Notamacropus eugenii: one gene and its partner. The protein of the gene in region 1 purifies or fractionates together with the protein of each later gene. This does not show direct contact. Links are inferred from orthologs where the notes say so. Each region holds a gene or a part of one and is shown on either strand. Other genes may lie near its edges.

Region 1 (7,701 bases):
CTTGTCAGTGTTTCTTCCTGGGGCACTTTTTATTACCTGAAAAACCAGAGGGCCAAAAATAGGTGAGTATAGGCTATGGAATGTCTTGCTACTCCACCCAGGACACCTGGTCAATGACAGGGTATTTCCACATACTGCAAACCACCCTGGACTGAAACAAGCTCTTAATGAGGAAAGAAGGCTTACGATCGCTTGGGTCTTAATAAAGACAATAGAGGTATTCTTTTTAAAAGTAGCAAATGCTTTCAATTGGGATTTCTACCTGATCCTGAGCTAATCCTCCATTTTTGGCTTAATGATATTTTGTACCAGCTAGATTGCCCTCAAATGGTAATTACACAATTTGTTATATCCTATGCATACGTGGAGGGAGAGAAAGTTCAGCGTTTGATCATTAATCAGATTTAGAGAACTATTCTTTGTTGTGCCTTGGAATTCCTTAGAATTATTTGCTGGTCTTTCACACTGGTGGTTTTTTTTTTTTTTAATAAGAATGTTGCAAATGCCTGTTCTTCCAAGACTGAAAGTGCCGTGATTTGGGTTCAAGAAGTGGTAAAACTGACATCCTGCCACGGAAAAGAAAGCTACTTTATAACTCTCACTGTTTCTCAAATTGTGTGGAGTTGTTTTTGGACAATTACAATTGTGCATTTATCTACAGTTAGGCAAAGGAATGTCCAGAGACCTTGATGTAATGTATGTAGTGCCTTACAATGTACACGGTGTTCTACCCAGAACCCTTGTGAGATATACATTGTCTCATCTCCATTTTACAGAGAAGGAAACTGATTCTCAGAGATGTGGATTTACTTGGGCAGGATTGCAGACACTGCTAAGTGCCAAGTCAACAAGCATTCATTAAGCACCTACTATGTGCTAGGCACTGTGCTAGGTACTTTGGATACAGAGAAAGGCAAAAAGAGTCCTTGTTTTCCAGGAGCTCTTAGTGTAATGAGGAACTCACAATGGCAGCCAGGCCTTCTGAATCCTAGGCCAAAACTCCTTCTACTTCATCACTTTGCCTAAAACAGTAGGTCTGAGATTCTCTGCCTGTCATGCTTATTGAGGTTTGTTTGATTAAGGTGTGGTGAAAGACCTTCAAAAGATTATGGACTTTTCTAAGTCATTTTTTTGGTGCATACATATAAATGTGGAATCCCTTAAATGGCCTCCTTGGATTGTGTCAGCAGGTCCAGCCTTTTGGGGAGTCAGGATTGAAGTGAGGCTTTAAGGGATTTGTTGAATAGAAAGCAACTTCCAAACAATTTTGCAATTATTCTCTTTATTAAAAAAAACAAACAAAAAAAGCCCCCAAAAACAAAAAACCTCAAACCAAACAAAGTTGTTTCAGTCAGGTCTGATTCTTTGTGATACCATTTGGGTTTTCTTGGTCAAAGATTTTGGAATGATGTTAGCCATTTCCTTCTTCAGCTCACTTTACAGATGAGGAAACTGAGACCCACAGAGTTGTGACTTGCCCAAGGTCACACAGTAAGTATCTGAGGCCATATTTGAACTCAGGTCTTCCTGACTCTGGTGTTGTATCCACTGTACCACCCAGCTGCCCCTTAGTATAAGGTATTTAAATGTATAATTATGTGGTGTTGGCAATGCAACTGTGGTTGTAACTAGTAGCTCTGGTTTCCTTCTCCTGTTGAGAACTACATCTTCCAGCAGTTTCTGGGCATTTGAAGACCCAACCATATGAGAAGATGTGTCTTACTAGAAGGGAAAGTCCTTTCTAGCCAGAAGGAAGATAATAGAGTGTTAACAAGTACAAAAAAGAAGGTTGTGGGGGCCTACATTGGAAATACCCCAGAGGGCCTGGATTCAAATCCATCTTTTTTTTTTTTAATTAAATTATTTTATTTATTTTCAGTGTCCTAGATTTTTTTCTCCTCCCTTCTCACTCCCTCCCTGACACTGCCTTTAATCTTATATAGGTTCTACACATACATTCCTATTAAATACATTTTCACCTTAATCATGTTAAATAGAAGAATTCAAATGAATGGGAGAAACCATAAAACAAAACAAAACATAATACTAAAGAAAATGATCTGCTTCTTTCTGCGATCCAATTCTACAGTTCTTTCTCTGGATGTGGAAGGCATTTTGCTTCAAGAGTTCATTGGGAATTTTTTAAGTCCTTGCACTGCAATGAAGTACTAAGTCTACCTGAAAAATTTCCCGTACACACTGCGGTTGTTGCTGTGTACAAAGTTCTCCTGGTTCTGCTCCTTTCACTCAGCATCAGATCATATAAGTCTTTCCAGACCTCTCTGAAGTCTTCCTGTTCATCATTTCTTATAGCACAATAGTATTCCATTACATCAAATCCCTCTTTGAACTCTTACCATCTGCATGACCTTGGGTAAGTCCTTTCATCTTTGGGGCCTCAGTTTCCTCATCAGGAAAATGAGGTCAGCTAAGTGGTAGTGGCCAATAGATTACCTGGCCTGGAGTCAGAAAGACTCATCTTCCTGGGTCCAGCCTCAGACACTTCCTAGCTGTGTGACCCTGGGCAACCGACATAACCCTGTTTGCCTCAGCTTTCTCATCTGTAAAATGAGCTGGAGAAGGAAATGGTGAAGTACTCCAGGATCTTTGCCAAGAAAATCCCACAGGGGATTTACAGAGTTGGACACCACTGAACAACAACTTCTGCTTCCAGATCCAAAGCTTGTATCCTGAGATCACAGAAACAAAAATAGTAGGGAAGGAGAAAACTCACCTTTTCCAGCCCCTGCCTCTCTCCCAAACCTTTTTCCTTCTCACTTAGAGGTGATTTTCTTTATGATTTTTTAGACTTCTTATGGAGTTCACCTGGGAGTCCACCTGTTGGGACTTCAATGATAATAAACTTTTATAGTTTTTATTACAGTGTATTTTATAAAATCTATAGTCTCTGGACCTTCTTTTCCTGTTTGTAAAATGGGAATGGGGACAAGGGTAAGGAAGAGCAGACAGGAGGTTGGCTTTCTTAATCTCTAAGTCTCTCTCTACTAATAGCCATTGGTTTACAGTTGGAAGGGACCTTGGAACTCATCCAGTCCACTTAACTCCTTTCAGAGGAGGTAGCTGAGGCCCAGAGAGGGAAAATGACCTGCCCGAGCAATAGTAATAACATGTATGGAGTACTTACTGTGTTCTAGGCCAGGTGCTAGGTCCGGGAGACTCAGAGAGGCAAATGTAAGTGTTGCCCTAAGGGAGCTTACCGATCTACACATATGTAGGAGGGCACATACTCCATACTCCTACATATGTGTATTCCTACATGTGTACTCCTACATATGTGTAGATGGATAGAATTTGTATATATGTGTGCAGATAGATATATATCATATTATATATCTATTGTGACATATAAATAGTATATTTCTATTATATCTTATATCTAATGTATAGATCTAATATATATACACGTATACATTTTATGACCTCGTTCCATTTTACCATATATTTATCCATATATATTTATATTCGTTATACATAAATGTATATGATAAATTGGAGGAAGGGCATAAAATTACTAAAGGGCAGCAGCTGGATTTGAACTCACGGTCTTAGGTGGTATGGAGGCGAGGGACGGCAGGAGGAGGAGGGGAAGGTGTTAAGCCACAGCGCGCCCAGTCACAGGGGCTTACGTCAGAGCTGGGAAGGAGGGAGGGGGAGGGGTCAAGGGCAGGGGAGTAACGAGACGATAAGGCCGAAATGCGCATGCTCAGTCACTAGGGCCGAGCTTCGGGGCTAGTAAGCATCTGTCCTTTGGGACTGGTATTGGCGCCTCCCCCGCCTCGGATTTCGACTTCGCTTTGCACGACTTCCTCAAGCATCGCGAGAGGTGCTTGCCCACAGCTAAGATGTCTGCCAATGCGCTTTGCCCCTGGGGGGGAGGCTTCTCGTCCCAGAGAAGCATCGCGGCGAGTCCCCCGAGCGCAGGTTCACCTCCCCACTGTCAGACAACGTCTCTTCATGAGGACGAGGCCCGAGGCGCCCGCCGCCACGCTAGGCCCCGGCCCGTAGGCCACTCCCCACTCCCCAGCCTTCGCTGCCCTTAAGCAACATGGCGGCCCGCGCCTCTCGGAGAGCCCCACCCCCGCCAGGACGGCTCCCGGAGCAGCCCGCCCCGCGCCCCGCCCCGGCCTCTTTTTGCCCACACCCAATAGGGCCCCCGCGGCGTCGGTCACGTGGGCCTGGGAGTACGGCGCGGGAGAGGGGCCGGGCGGGCGGGCTAGTGCAGGGTGCGCGCTCCCGCGGCCGGCCGTCCGTCCGTCCCGCTGGTAGGTCTCCGTCAGAGTCACTATGGCGGCCGGGGCCGGGGCCGGGGCCGGGGTCGGGGCCGCGGGTGGGGCGGGGAGGGCCGGCGGGGCGGCGGGGGGCGCCTGACGGGCCGGGAGGGCGGGCGGCGCCTGACGGCGGCCGGTCACGGTTCTTGTCGCCCGCAGGTCGGAAAGTTTGGCGGCGGCGCCGCGTGAGCCGGGGCGGGCGGCCGGAGAGGGCCCCGCAGGCCAGCGCTCGAGGCGGCGAGAGAGCCCAGAGGAGCGGCGACCGACCCCCCACGCGCCGCCGCGGACACGCGGGAGCCCAGCCCGGGGCCGCCCCCGGCGCGCGATGCGCGGCCCCCGCTAGCGCGATCCCTGCTGGGGCGAGGAACCGAGGCGGCCCACGGACGATTCGGCCGGCCCACGGGAAGGGGGGACCCCGCTCCGCGCGGCAGGGCCGTCAGTGCCCACGCGAGACCGGGTCCCCGCTCGCGTGCCCTCGGGCGCCCCCCGAGTGACTCCCGGAGCGGCCGCGGGTGGATGCAGGAAGCCCCCTCCAATGTGGTTGGAGCCCCTGGGTGCTGAGCCCCAGGGGGATGGAGTGAGGGGCGCCCCCCACGCGCCCCCCGGCCATGCCCGGACCGCTCCCACGGTGGTGACCCGCGGCGACCCCCACGCGCGTGCGGGGCCGATGCTGTCTGCGCTCTGATCCGCCTGCTGGGGTGGGAGGACACACGTGGCGCGGCCTGCTCGGCAGCGTGGCTCAGGACGAGCTCCTCTTCGGACCCGGGCCTGGCTGGAGCGGGCTCCCCGAGCTGTCCTCAATGCCTTCGGCCCTGGCCATCTTCACTTGCCGCCCCAACTCGCACCCGTTCCAGGAGCGCCATGTCTACCTGGACGAGCCCATCAAGATCGGGCGCTCGGTGGCCCGGTGCCGGCCGGCCCAGAACAACGCCACCTTCGACTGCAAGGTGCTGTCCCGGAACCACGCACTGGTCTGGTTCGACCACAAGACGGGCAAGGTGAGGGGCCGCGCCGTGCCGCGGGGTGCTGGCGGCCGTGGGCGTGGGCAGCGGGAAGTGGTCAGCGGGCAGGGGGCAGCGGGGCTGGACAGCCCTTGGGCAGGGGCAGCCTTGGGCAGCGGGGCTGGACAGCCCTTGGGCAGGGGCACGGGCAGGGGCAGCGGGGCTGGAGAGCCTTTGGGCAGGGGCACGGGCAGGGGCAGCGGGGCTGGAGAGCCTTTGGGCAGGGGCACGGGCAGGGGCAGCCGGGCTGGAGAGCCTTTGGGCAGGGGCACGGGCAGGGGCAGCGGGGCTGGAGAGCCTTTGGGCAGGGGCACGGGCAGGGGCAGCCGGGCTGGAGAGCCTTTGGGCAGGGGCAGAGTGGCTGGACAGCCCTCGGGCAGGGCCCCACCTTCTCCTGACCCAGGCTGGCCCCCTGGCCCGGGCACAGCCTGCCCAGGAATGACAGGTCACCCGAGGCCGAGATTGCCTCCTGGCTGCGTCCCGCCTGGTTCTTAAAGTTGACCCCGAGTCTCCCCGACTTGACTGTAGAGGGTTCAAGCTTTCCAAAGAGGATGTAAGAATCTAGGACCAGCCATTAGGACGCTTTGCAGTCACTTGGAAGAAAGTTCTTTGGAATTCTCTGGAATTCCTTGATTCTGAAATTATGGTGATGCAGAGGCAGTGGGCTTTTCAAAGCAAATGACATCTGTGCCCGGGACTTGGGTGAGAGCAGAGAAAGACGTTTTAATGTTCTTGTCCGGTGCCAGTACACTGCCTTCCTTACCTGTGGAAGATACTTCTCTTATGTCCTCTCTGCAAGTGTTCAGCTTGTGTGCCAACCAGGCTTCCCGGAACCCAGTGGTAGGACAGGTAGAGAACCTCCCATCGCCAGTCAGCTCTTTCCCCTTCACTTCTCATTAGGTGTTTGATTTGCCCTCGTACAGATGAGTGGATGGACTTCCTACACTCTGAGACACCTCGGGTAGACATTTTAAACACCACTTTAAATTTTGGGGGAAAAATAGTGATTGGTAACATGAAGGAATCCTTTCTAGGACTGTGCAGAGATAATATCCCAGTGGCTTAGTTGGATATGACTAAGAGTCTTAACAGAAGTGGGCGGTTTTTGGCAGGGGAATTGAGATGACATGTTAAAAATTTGTACAAAGCGTGTTCTTGAAAGCTCTGCAACCACAGTTACCTTTTTAAATGAAACGACTGGATCATTCCTAACATCTTCTCTTTCCTCACTACCTAAAAGAAGATGGTTTGTTAATAGCGTAGTCACTGACTGAATTAATCAATCCATGACCAATCAGATTGAACCACATTGCAGTACAGGCTATTTTAGCTAGTAGTCCTTTGGAATTGTGAGTTACCTCGGATAGAGAGACCAGCTAAATGACCATGTTAGTTAGTGCTGATGTTCTTGGGAGAAATGTCCATTGTGAGAAATCTTATGTTACTCTATTTCTCCCTTTTCCCTGACTCCTTACCCCCCTCCCTCCAGCAGCCACCAGTTTAGGACAGGTTCTAAATTTCATTTACTTTACACTGAACCCCTTAAAGGGGAAATAGCAAATTTAATTAGGTACTTGTTCCTAAAGTTCAGAGGACTTTGCGTCATCTCATTGAAACAAACTCTAAGGAACTGTCCAGCTTCTTTGGTTAATACTGGACTTTGCAGAGAGAAAGAGTTGGAAGGAAATCTCTGGGACCTAGAACATCTTCTGTTAGAGGAGATTTTTGTTCCAAATGAAATAGAACAGAGGGACCTGACTTGATAGTCTGCCTCCTGACACACTGGGCCCATCTTTCCTGCTCTGTAAATTAAGACATTGGACTAGCTGGCCTCCAAGGTCCCTTCCAGCTCCATAAACTTTTAAATAATAAATACATAGTTCTGTCATGTTATTTTCACAACCATGGAGGTAGGCCCTATTGTTACCTCCATTTTACAGGTGAGGAAACTGAGGCAATTTCTTACCCAGGTTGACACGGCTAGAAGGTGTGAGACTGTATTTGAACTCAGGGCTTTCTGACTCTGGATCTAGTTCTCTATGCACTGTACCATTCAACTTCTACTTTTACTTTACCTGTGTGATCTTGTGACAGGCCCTCAACTTACCTAACCTGGACCTCAGTTTGGTCATTTATGAAATGAGACAGTTGTACTTCATAGTTTCCATGGTCTCTAGTTCACGTTTATTAGGCTTTTAAGCTTTGCAGAGTTTTGTTTTAGCAGTCGGGCAGTCAGAAAGAATTTGCTATGCACCTGTGATTTGCTGAGCATTGATGACTCAGAGAGAGGCCAAAGACAGTGTCTGCTCTCAGGGAGCTCCCAGTCTAATGGCAAAAACAAGCTGGAGACAACTTGGTATGGATAAGATCTAGACAGGATAAATTGGAGATAATTAGCAGTGACTGGTGGG
Region 2 (7,472 bases), on another chromosome or scaffold:
ACCATCACCACCTGCTTACCTTTGAGATGGAAAGTTTTCAATAATTCCCATCTGATTCCCACTGCAAGGCTTCCCAATCAAGTTAAATATTAAGCCAACTGAGTGACCCTGTGAATCAATAACTACCATCATTGTTTCCTTTCCCCACTACACATCTTATCCAGAGCACCCATTCATGTAGAAAAATAAAATTTATAATTTTTTTTGTTCCTTCTATATCCCATCAAGGCTCAGGTAACAGCAAGTTCTACTGTCTTAATGGGTACATACACATGTAACCTTTTCTTTCCTGCTTCAACAACCTGTGCCTGGGCAAAGGCTAATGATTTCATGTCAGCAATCTTCCCCTGAAAATGTCATTTTTGGAAAGTACCTCCCCCAGGGAAGGAGCCCTCAAGAAAATAACGATTATAAAGAAAGGACACAAAAATCATTTGTGAGGTACAGTAACAATAACTAAAAAAAAAGGTGTCAGGACTCCTTTCCACCTTGCGAGGAGTGGGTGGAGACCCTTCTCTTCAAACCTACCACATAAGGGGTAAGGGAGGAATAAGCTCTTGCCCAGTTTAATCTCAATCTTTTGTGATGAACGGATCAGACAACTTTCCTGTTGGAAAGATAAATCCAGCCTATGTATTTATTTTTGCTCAGTAAGGTTGGTATTCAGAATTTCAAATGGCAAAAAGGTAAAAAAAAAAAAAAAAAAGGAAATGCGGATTAACCATATTTTCTAGCTATAGAAATGGCAACTCTAAAGGCAATTTCTAAAAAACTCATTTGGCAAATGTTTATTTTTATTTCTTAGTTAGCCACAGATAAGTTCATTCTATGGCACTGAAGTCAAGAGAAAATAGGTTTGATTTTACCCCAGATAGTGATTTGCATAATATAATCAAACTTGCCCCTCCCCAATTCTTCACCATATATAATCAATAATGTATACATGTGGAATCTTTTGATGATCAGAGACTTAATTTCAACATCAATTTAATAGGAGTCAGGTCCAGGGAACCTTGAATGTAGCACCTTGGCAATCAGATTCAGTCATTCAACCCTAATTTCTATGGACATCATAAGGTTCTGTATTTCATTTATTTCTGTGTGCAATTCTGGCTGTGTGTTAGCTCAAAGGAGGTAGACTGGAAGGATGTATCAATGTGCCTGGGTCACAAAATACTCTGATTTTGTCCAATGATCCCAAGTCAAAATTTCCAACCAATAAATCAACAAGTAATTACGCCTCTACTATGTGCCAGGCACTGGGCCAGGTGCTGAAGATACAAGTACAAAGAAAAAGGCATGCATTAAGCCAGAATCTTTTACCAAGTAAGACTTCCCAGACCATTTCTTCCGCTTGGACAGAGAGATACAGGGGGAAAATAACACCAGTCAACATGAAGTAAAAGAATCAGGGTCACAGCCAGACACAGAGCCCAAGACACTAACTCAGAAAATATAATTCCACATACTGAAGAACTAGATAAAGCATAGAAATTCTGAGAAAATCTGAAGTTTTGAAAAGGAAAACCTAACTCCCAAAGGGATCCAAAAAAAGAATTTTCTCTATAAATCAGTTTTCATGTTGCTGTGGGCAGGAGAGTTTCCCACAAATAACACCAGTTTTTAAGCCTCACTCCACCCTTGTCCCAAATTCTGTCTCTCTCCACAGCAAAAGAAAAAAAAAGTATTTTCCTAGGAAGAAAGTCACACTCAGAACGTAGACAGAAGAATGCCTCACATGGTGCAGCATTCTGACTGAGTGTAGCAGCAGTATGGGTCAACTGCCACTGTTTCTTGTTCATAAAAAAGCTGGTCACGTCTGGCACTTACCTGATTGTCTCAGGGACAATGTGAACACAGATTTTTCTAACCCTTTTTTTTTTTTTTTTGGTGTTGTACACAGATAAGAGCTCCATGTTCATCCTTGATTCACGTGGGTTGTCAAACACTCATTAGCAATGAACTTCCCACTACCAAAGGAATGACTTCGAGACCATTTAATATTATGACCTGGCATTTAGAAAAATAGAAATAAAAAACAAGAGCCCAAGGAAGCCAGGAAAAATCGAGCAGAAAGTCAGCTGGAAACCAGCAAAGTGTGAGAACGGAAAATAAAATTGTAGTAAATGATTACTAAAGATTACATTTCAACATGAGTCAATTACCATTGCTACCCTATTCTGAAAATCATCTGGGTACCATAAGATGCCATCATGACAAACATGTTCTAGCACAAAGGGATGCTACAATATACTATTTTAATAAAAAATACGTAATCCATGACTTTTTTTGCTTTTAAAAACCTCACAAAGCAGGCAAATGGTCTGCACTTCTGTGAAAAAGATTTGACTGTTGTCTTAGGGTCACAAAAACTCACCCAGGTTTATAGTACCTTTCATCTCTACCTAGCATGAAAACAGCATCTTAAATTATTCAATTGCATTCAAAGTAAAGTCAGAACATTGCTTAAAAGTTTTAACATAATGAATAGCAACTGTCTCAGGTGACTATGACTTTTGTATCGCCATAGGTCCTTGTCTCACCACATCGACCCCTAAATAGACCACAAAACTTGTAATTCCTGCTTTTACAATGAAGCAAATCTGAGATGTACAAACATTCACCTGACTCATCCAATATCTATACGGAGGTGAGGTGCACCTGGGAAAGGCAAAGAACGGAGAGCACCGTATGTTGGATGGAAGGATATTAAGCAAGGTTTTTACTCCCATTTAAGAACCAGGCAAGAGGAAGCTCATCCTCCGTTCAGCCTCGACAGCTTTTTGATAGGGTCTTTGTTGACCAAAGTTATTCCCCTGATAGGCTCCATCATCCATCCTTTGGATTATTCATGCAAGCCTCCTTTTGCTTAATGTTTCTGAAGCAAATCATAGACATCCTTCTCTGTGGCAGAAAAGGGAAATACAAGGAAGAGCTGATGAAGCAAGGAAAGGGAGAGGGGTCCTTGTTCTGGGTTTAAAACTTGTTTTCATAATAAAGGAGTTACATAATTCTAAATCTAAAGCAAAACGCCTGTACTCCGATACAGATGAAATTCACAGGATTCGAAATTAGTCAATTTCAGGCACCGGGGCGGGGGAAGGGGAGGGTTCCTCCGAGAGAAAAAAAGGATTCGAATGTCACAAAATTCCTCAGATAAACGAATCATGCTCTAAAGGCGTTTCAAGTGAATCACCTTTCTTCCTCACCTCCTTTTTCAAATGCAACATTTATGTTTCATTGAAAAGAGTTTGCAACCTACGTAGGAAAAAAAAAGAAAACCACAAACCCTGATACTTTAAAATCTGCTACAAATAGTAACCGGAGGAATTTTCCTGGTAGGCAACAAAGTCATCTTGGATTGAGAATACTCGTCAAAGCAGCGCAGCGGGCTTACCTGGCCTTCAAACACTGCCAAGCCCTCCTCAAGAGATGCTGCTAGACGGTCTCCAGCGAAGACAAGTCCCAGACGGACAGCTCCGGCTCCAGCTGGGGCTCCCGCTCGTGCTCCGGCTCTGGCCAGCGCTGCTACTGTTTCACAGCAATGCTACTGTTTCAGCACTGCCTTCAGCTCTTACTGCTGCGGAAACTCCGCCCCTCCGGGTGGCAAACGAAGCTGCCGCCGTCGCTCCTCCCTCCCCCTCCTCCTCCTCCTCCTCCTCCTCCTGCTGCTCTCGTGGTTACTCCAGCTGCGGATGCTCTTCCACCCTCCGGCTTCCCTTACCTTTCCTGGGCTGGAGGCTTTAGCTTCTGCTCCCCCCTCGCTATCTTACCGCTCCACCCCACCCCCAACTTTCCCTGTGTCTTCCCACCTCCGACTTCTATTGTTTCACCGTCCGCCCCGCCGGTTGCTCCCACACCTGCTGCACCTGCATGTGCCTCTGGATCGGGGAGGGAAGGAGGAGATGCTCCTATCTCCACTGGACCCTCCACCTCCCCCAGCTCAGCCGCCCCTGCCCCTCCCGGGAAGGGTACAGGAGTTGGGCGATGACAACTGCCCGCGGCCCCGTCTGGTTGAGCCCGAGAAGCTGCTGCCACTGCTCCTGTTAGAGCGAGTCGCTCAGAGCTCCCGTGCCCTCCACCCCACGCTAACCCCGGGGGTCCCTCCTAGCACGCGCCTCCCTCAGAGCCCAGAGCCACCCCAGGGGCTACCCTAGGCGTGCACCAGCCTCCTCCTCTACCTCCGCCTCCTCACCCCCGCCCGAGCCGAAGCCCGAGCCGACCACCCTCCCTGATTGGGCCAGGTGAGCCAAGACTCCTCCCCTTCTCTCGGATCCCCAGCCCACCCTCCCTTCCTCTCAGCCCCGCCCAGGGGAGCGAGAGGGCCTAGACGATTGGTTCGCGACGTCCCCACCCATCTCCTGGAGCCGCTCGCAGGGACCGCTGGGTGATGTAGTCCGATCCGGGTTCACGGCTGTGGGCAGGGCCGAAGGCTGAGACTACGAGCCCCCATCGGCCCGTGCGCGGCTCCGGCTGGGCAGGATTCCGGACAACGCCTGGTTCCTCTCGGCTCCTTCCGGCGTTGCCGGAGTGAATTGATCCGGGAGTTGAAGAGGCTCCGGAGGTGGGAAGTGGAGTCTGCTTCGGAGCTGCTGGCGCCGCCACCTCCAAGGGTAGGGCTGCCCTGCCGGCCTCGACCTCGCTGCGCCCCGGTGGGCGAGGGTAGGTGCGCCGGGGCCCGGGAGCCCGCGGGGCCCTGCGGGCGTCGGGCGGTGACTAGACGCGAGCGGCCTCCAGCGGGCTCATCGAGGCCGCCCGAGCGCGGGCCTCCCTCCCGGCCTCCGGCCTCCCTCCCCGGGGCCGCCGTCCAGGAAGTGGCGGCAATGGCTGGGGGCAGGCCTCGGCCGCCGAGGCCGGGAGGGGGCGGATGTGCCTCGGGTGGGGTCCGCTCCAGGTGTGGGAGGAGGAGCCAGGGACGGCGGTGGGGGAGGCTGGAGCCCGGAGCGGGCCCTGCGGGGTAGGGCGAGGAGGGAAGGGCCGGGGCTCGCGGCCCAAGGTCGGGGGTCACCGGCGTCCTCCCTGGACGGAGGCCTGCCGGACAAGGCGGGAGCCTCGGGGCCCCAGCTGCCCAGGCGTCCAGTCGGATCGCACACAGTAGGCGCTTCATAAATGCTTGTTCCCTTCCCACAGCCATTCCTTATTCTCCCTGTCTGTTGGAGTAGCGTCTGACTTCCCTGACTGGAGTGGGGGGGGCAGATCTATCACCTGGAACATCTGTGCCCCCCCTCATTGAAAATTAAACTCGTATTTGCCCTGCTGGGCCGCTTGGGGGGATCCTTGGCCCCCCCTGGACTCCGTGCCCCCGCCCCCGCCCCATCTCTGTGTTGAATAGGGAGTGTCTGAGTTGGAGAAGCCCCCCTTGGACGGCGATCGCTGCCCAGGTGCAGAACTTCTCTGTACCAAGTTTGTGCCCCACCCAGCCGGGCTCCAGGCTCCCTTGCAGTCGCTGTTGGGCTTCTCCACCCCTATGTCTCATCCTCACCTGCTCTTTTGGCCTCCTGAGGGCTGTAGAACTACAGGCATCCCGATGAGTCTGTGGCCAGCATCCATCGGCTCAAGTATTTTAACTTTAAAGGTGCATCTGAGTGCCTGTCATCTGAAAAAAAGTTGTGCAAGATTCATGGAAAGGGAAGAGGATCTGACTCACTTCTGGTTTTTTATCCTTGTATTGGAGGAGTCAGGTGATGGAAAGAGCACTGGATTGGAGCAGGAAGACCTGGTTTAGAATCTTAGCTGTGTGGCCTCCAGCAAGGCCATTAAGTGTCCTTGGCTTCACTTTCCTAATTTGGGAATTGAGTTACTTGCGCTAGATTGCCTCTGAGATCCTGTCCCAATCAGAAATCCTGCGATCTTGGGAATGGCTTTGGTAACTGATAAGAAGTGACAACTTATTCTTGTCTAATATAGGAAAGTCATTTCAGGACATAGGAGAACTTTAACGTGCTGCTTTTTCCTTCCACCAGGTCTCCCTTTGTTTAAAAAAAAATCTTTTTACAGAAGTACAGTACTTTGAAGTTGGTACTTCTAGAACAGTTTGCTCATACACTGATATTTCAGAGACTTAGAAAACAAGTTTAGTATGTCAGTATAGGGAGGTTACATAACTGATAATGTATGGGTTACCTCTCAGTGATTTACATTGACTTTTTGCCACCTTCAAGAATAATTTCAAAATTCAGCTCTCAGAGAAAATATTGCTGTTTAACTACATTGGTAGATAACATATAATATGTCCTGCAAGTCACATGATCTACCTCCCCTATTTTTTTTTTTAAGGATTTACATTCCTGAGAAGATTTCACAGTAAGGAACGAAGGAGATTGGGGTAAAATTTGTAGTTTCTATTAGGCTGAGAATAATGAAAAGGGACCTAGCACCCTCTGCCATGATAATTGCATGCTATGACTCTATGTAGTTATCTACACTAATATAGGTCTGGTATTAGGTATTATGATAGAAACTTTTAACAGAAATTCATAAAATGTTAAGTGTTCCAAGTTAAGATAAATTGACCTCAAAAATCATATCTAGTTATAGTCAGCCATCTCCACATAATTTGTTCTCAAGATATTTACTCAATTTTTTATAACAAAGAAAGCCCTGGCAGACTCTGTGTGTGTGTGTGTGTGTGTGTCTGTGTGTCTGTCTGTCTGTCTGTTTTACATGCTGGTCACTGTCTAATAGGTTTCCCTAGGTTCCTTTTATGACTTGAAGTTTGGAATAATGAGGGAATTTACCAAGATCCAAAAAGGATATTATGATAAAAGTCAACTTCAAGATAGAATAGAGATCCAAAATCAAAAGAATGAAATATAAAAGAGAATTACATATCAGTTATAATACACGTAAAAGGGAGAAAAGTCATCAAATTATTTAAGAACAATCAGCATTTGTTATGTCGGAGGAATCCTTCAAGATCCATCTGATGGCACCTTTTCCATGAAGTCTTCCTTGATCACTTAGCTAGATGTGGTTTCCATTTTTCATACGACCATCACCCTGACTTTCCCTCAGCATTTGTTTATTATAATCATTACTATAATTATTAATAGCCAATGGACATTTATTAATCACCTACTATGTACTGGGTTCTGTACTAAGCACTAGGGATTCAGATAAGAAAAAGAAGACCAGTCCCTGACCTCAAGGAGCTTACTGTCTACTAGAGAAAGAGTACACTGAAGAAGCTGAAAGGAGGAGGGGAGAGCCAGCGCCAGACTGTCTGGCCAGTGCTAACTCAGAACCAAGCAGAGCAGCTGACGGAAGATGAAGAGAAGGTTGGGAATTCTGAGCTCGCTAGAAATGGAGGCATTTAGAGGAGTTTTTAGCTTAGCCTTCCAACAGAAGAGAGGCAACTGAAGGTGCTGAGGCAGTGTTGACTCCCAAAGCTGAAACACTCTCCATTATTAGATTTCTGGAGATGGGCAGCTAGATGGCTCAGTGGATAGTACTGGGCCTGGAGTCAGGAAGAC

What was found. Proteins that work in one complex are often made in the same cells at the same time.
Region 2: the proteins of SLMAP (region 1) and PDCD10 purify together in Homo sapiens (affinity purification with mass spectrometry; 3 studies listed by BioGRID and IntAct, counting the BioPlex papers as one, with this or other methods). This does not show direct contact. The link is inferred for Notamacropus eugenii from reciprocal best matches to the Homo sapiens genes SLMAP and PDCD10.

Annotation. Positions count from the first base shown.
Region 1 is NC_092874.1:467,542,404-467,550,104, reverse strand, and holds the start of SLMAP (sarcolemmal membrane-associated protein), read left to right. Parts: upstream 1-4,695; 5' UTR 4,696-5,089; coding exon 5,090-5,287; intron 5,288-7,701. UniProt on the Homo sapiens protein: Associates with the striatin-interacting phosphatase and kinase (STRIPAK) core complex, forming the extended (SIKE1:SLMAP)STRIPAK complex.
Region 2 is NC_092877.1:356,728,572-356,736,043, forward strand, and holds the start of PDCD10 (programmed cell death protein 10), read left to right. Parts: upstream 1-4,465; 5' UTR 4,466-4,613; exon of another isoform or gene 4,614-4,666; intron 4,667-7,472. UniProt on the Homo sapiens protein: Promotes cell proliferation. Modulates apoptotic pathways. Increases mitogen-activated protein kinase activity and STK26 activity. Important for cell migration, and for normal structure and assembly of the Golgi complex.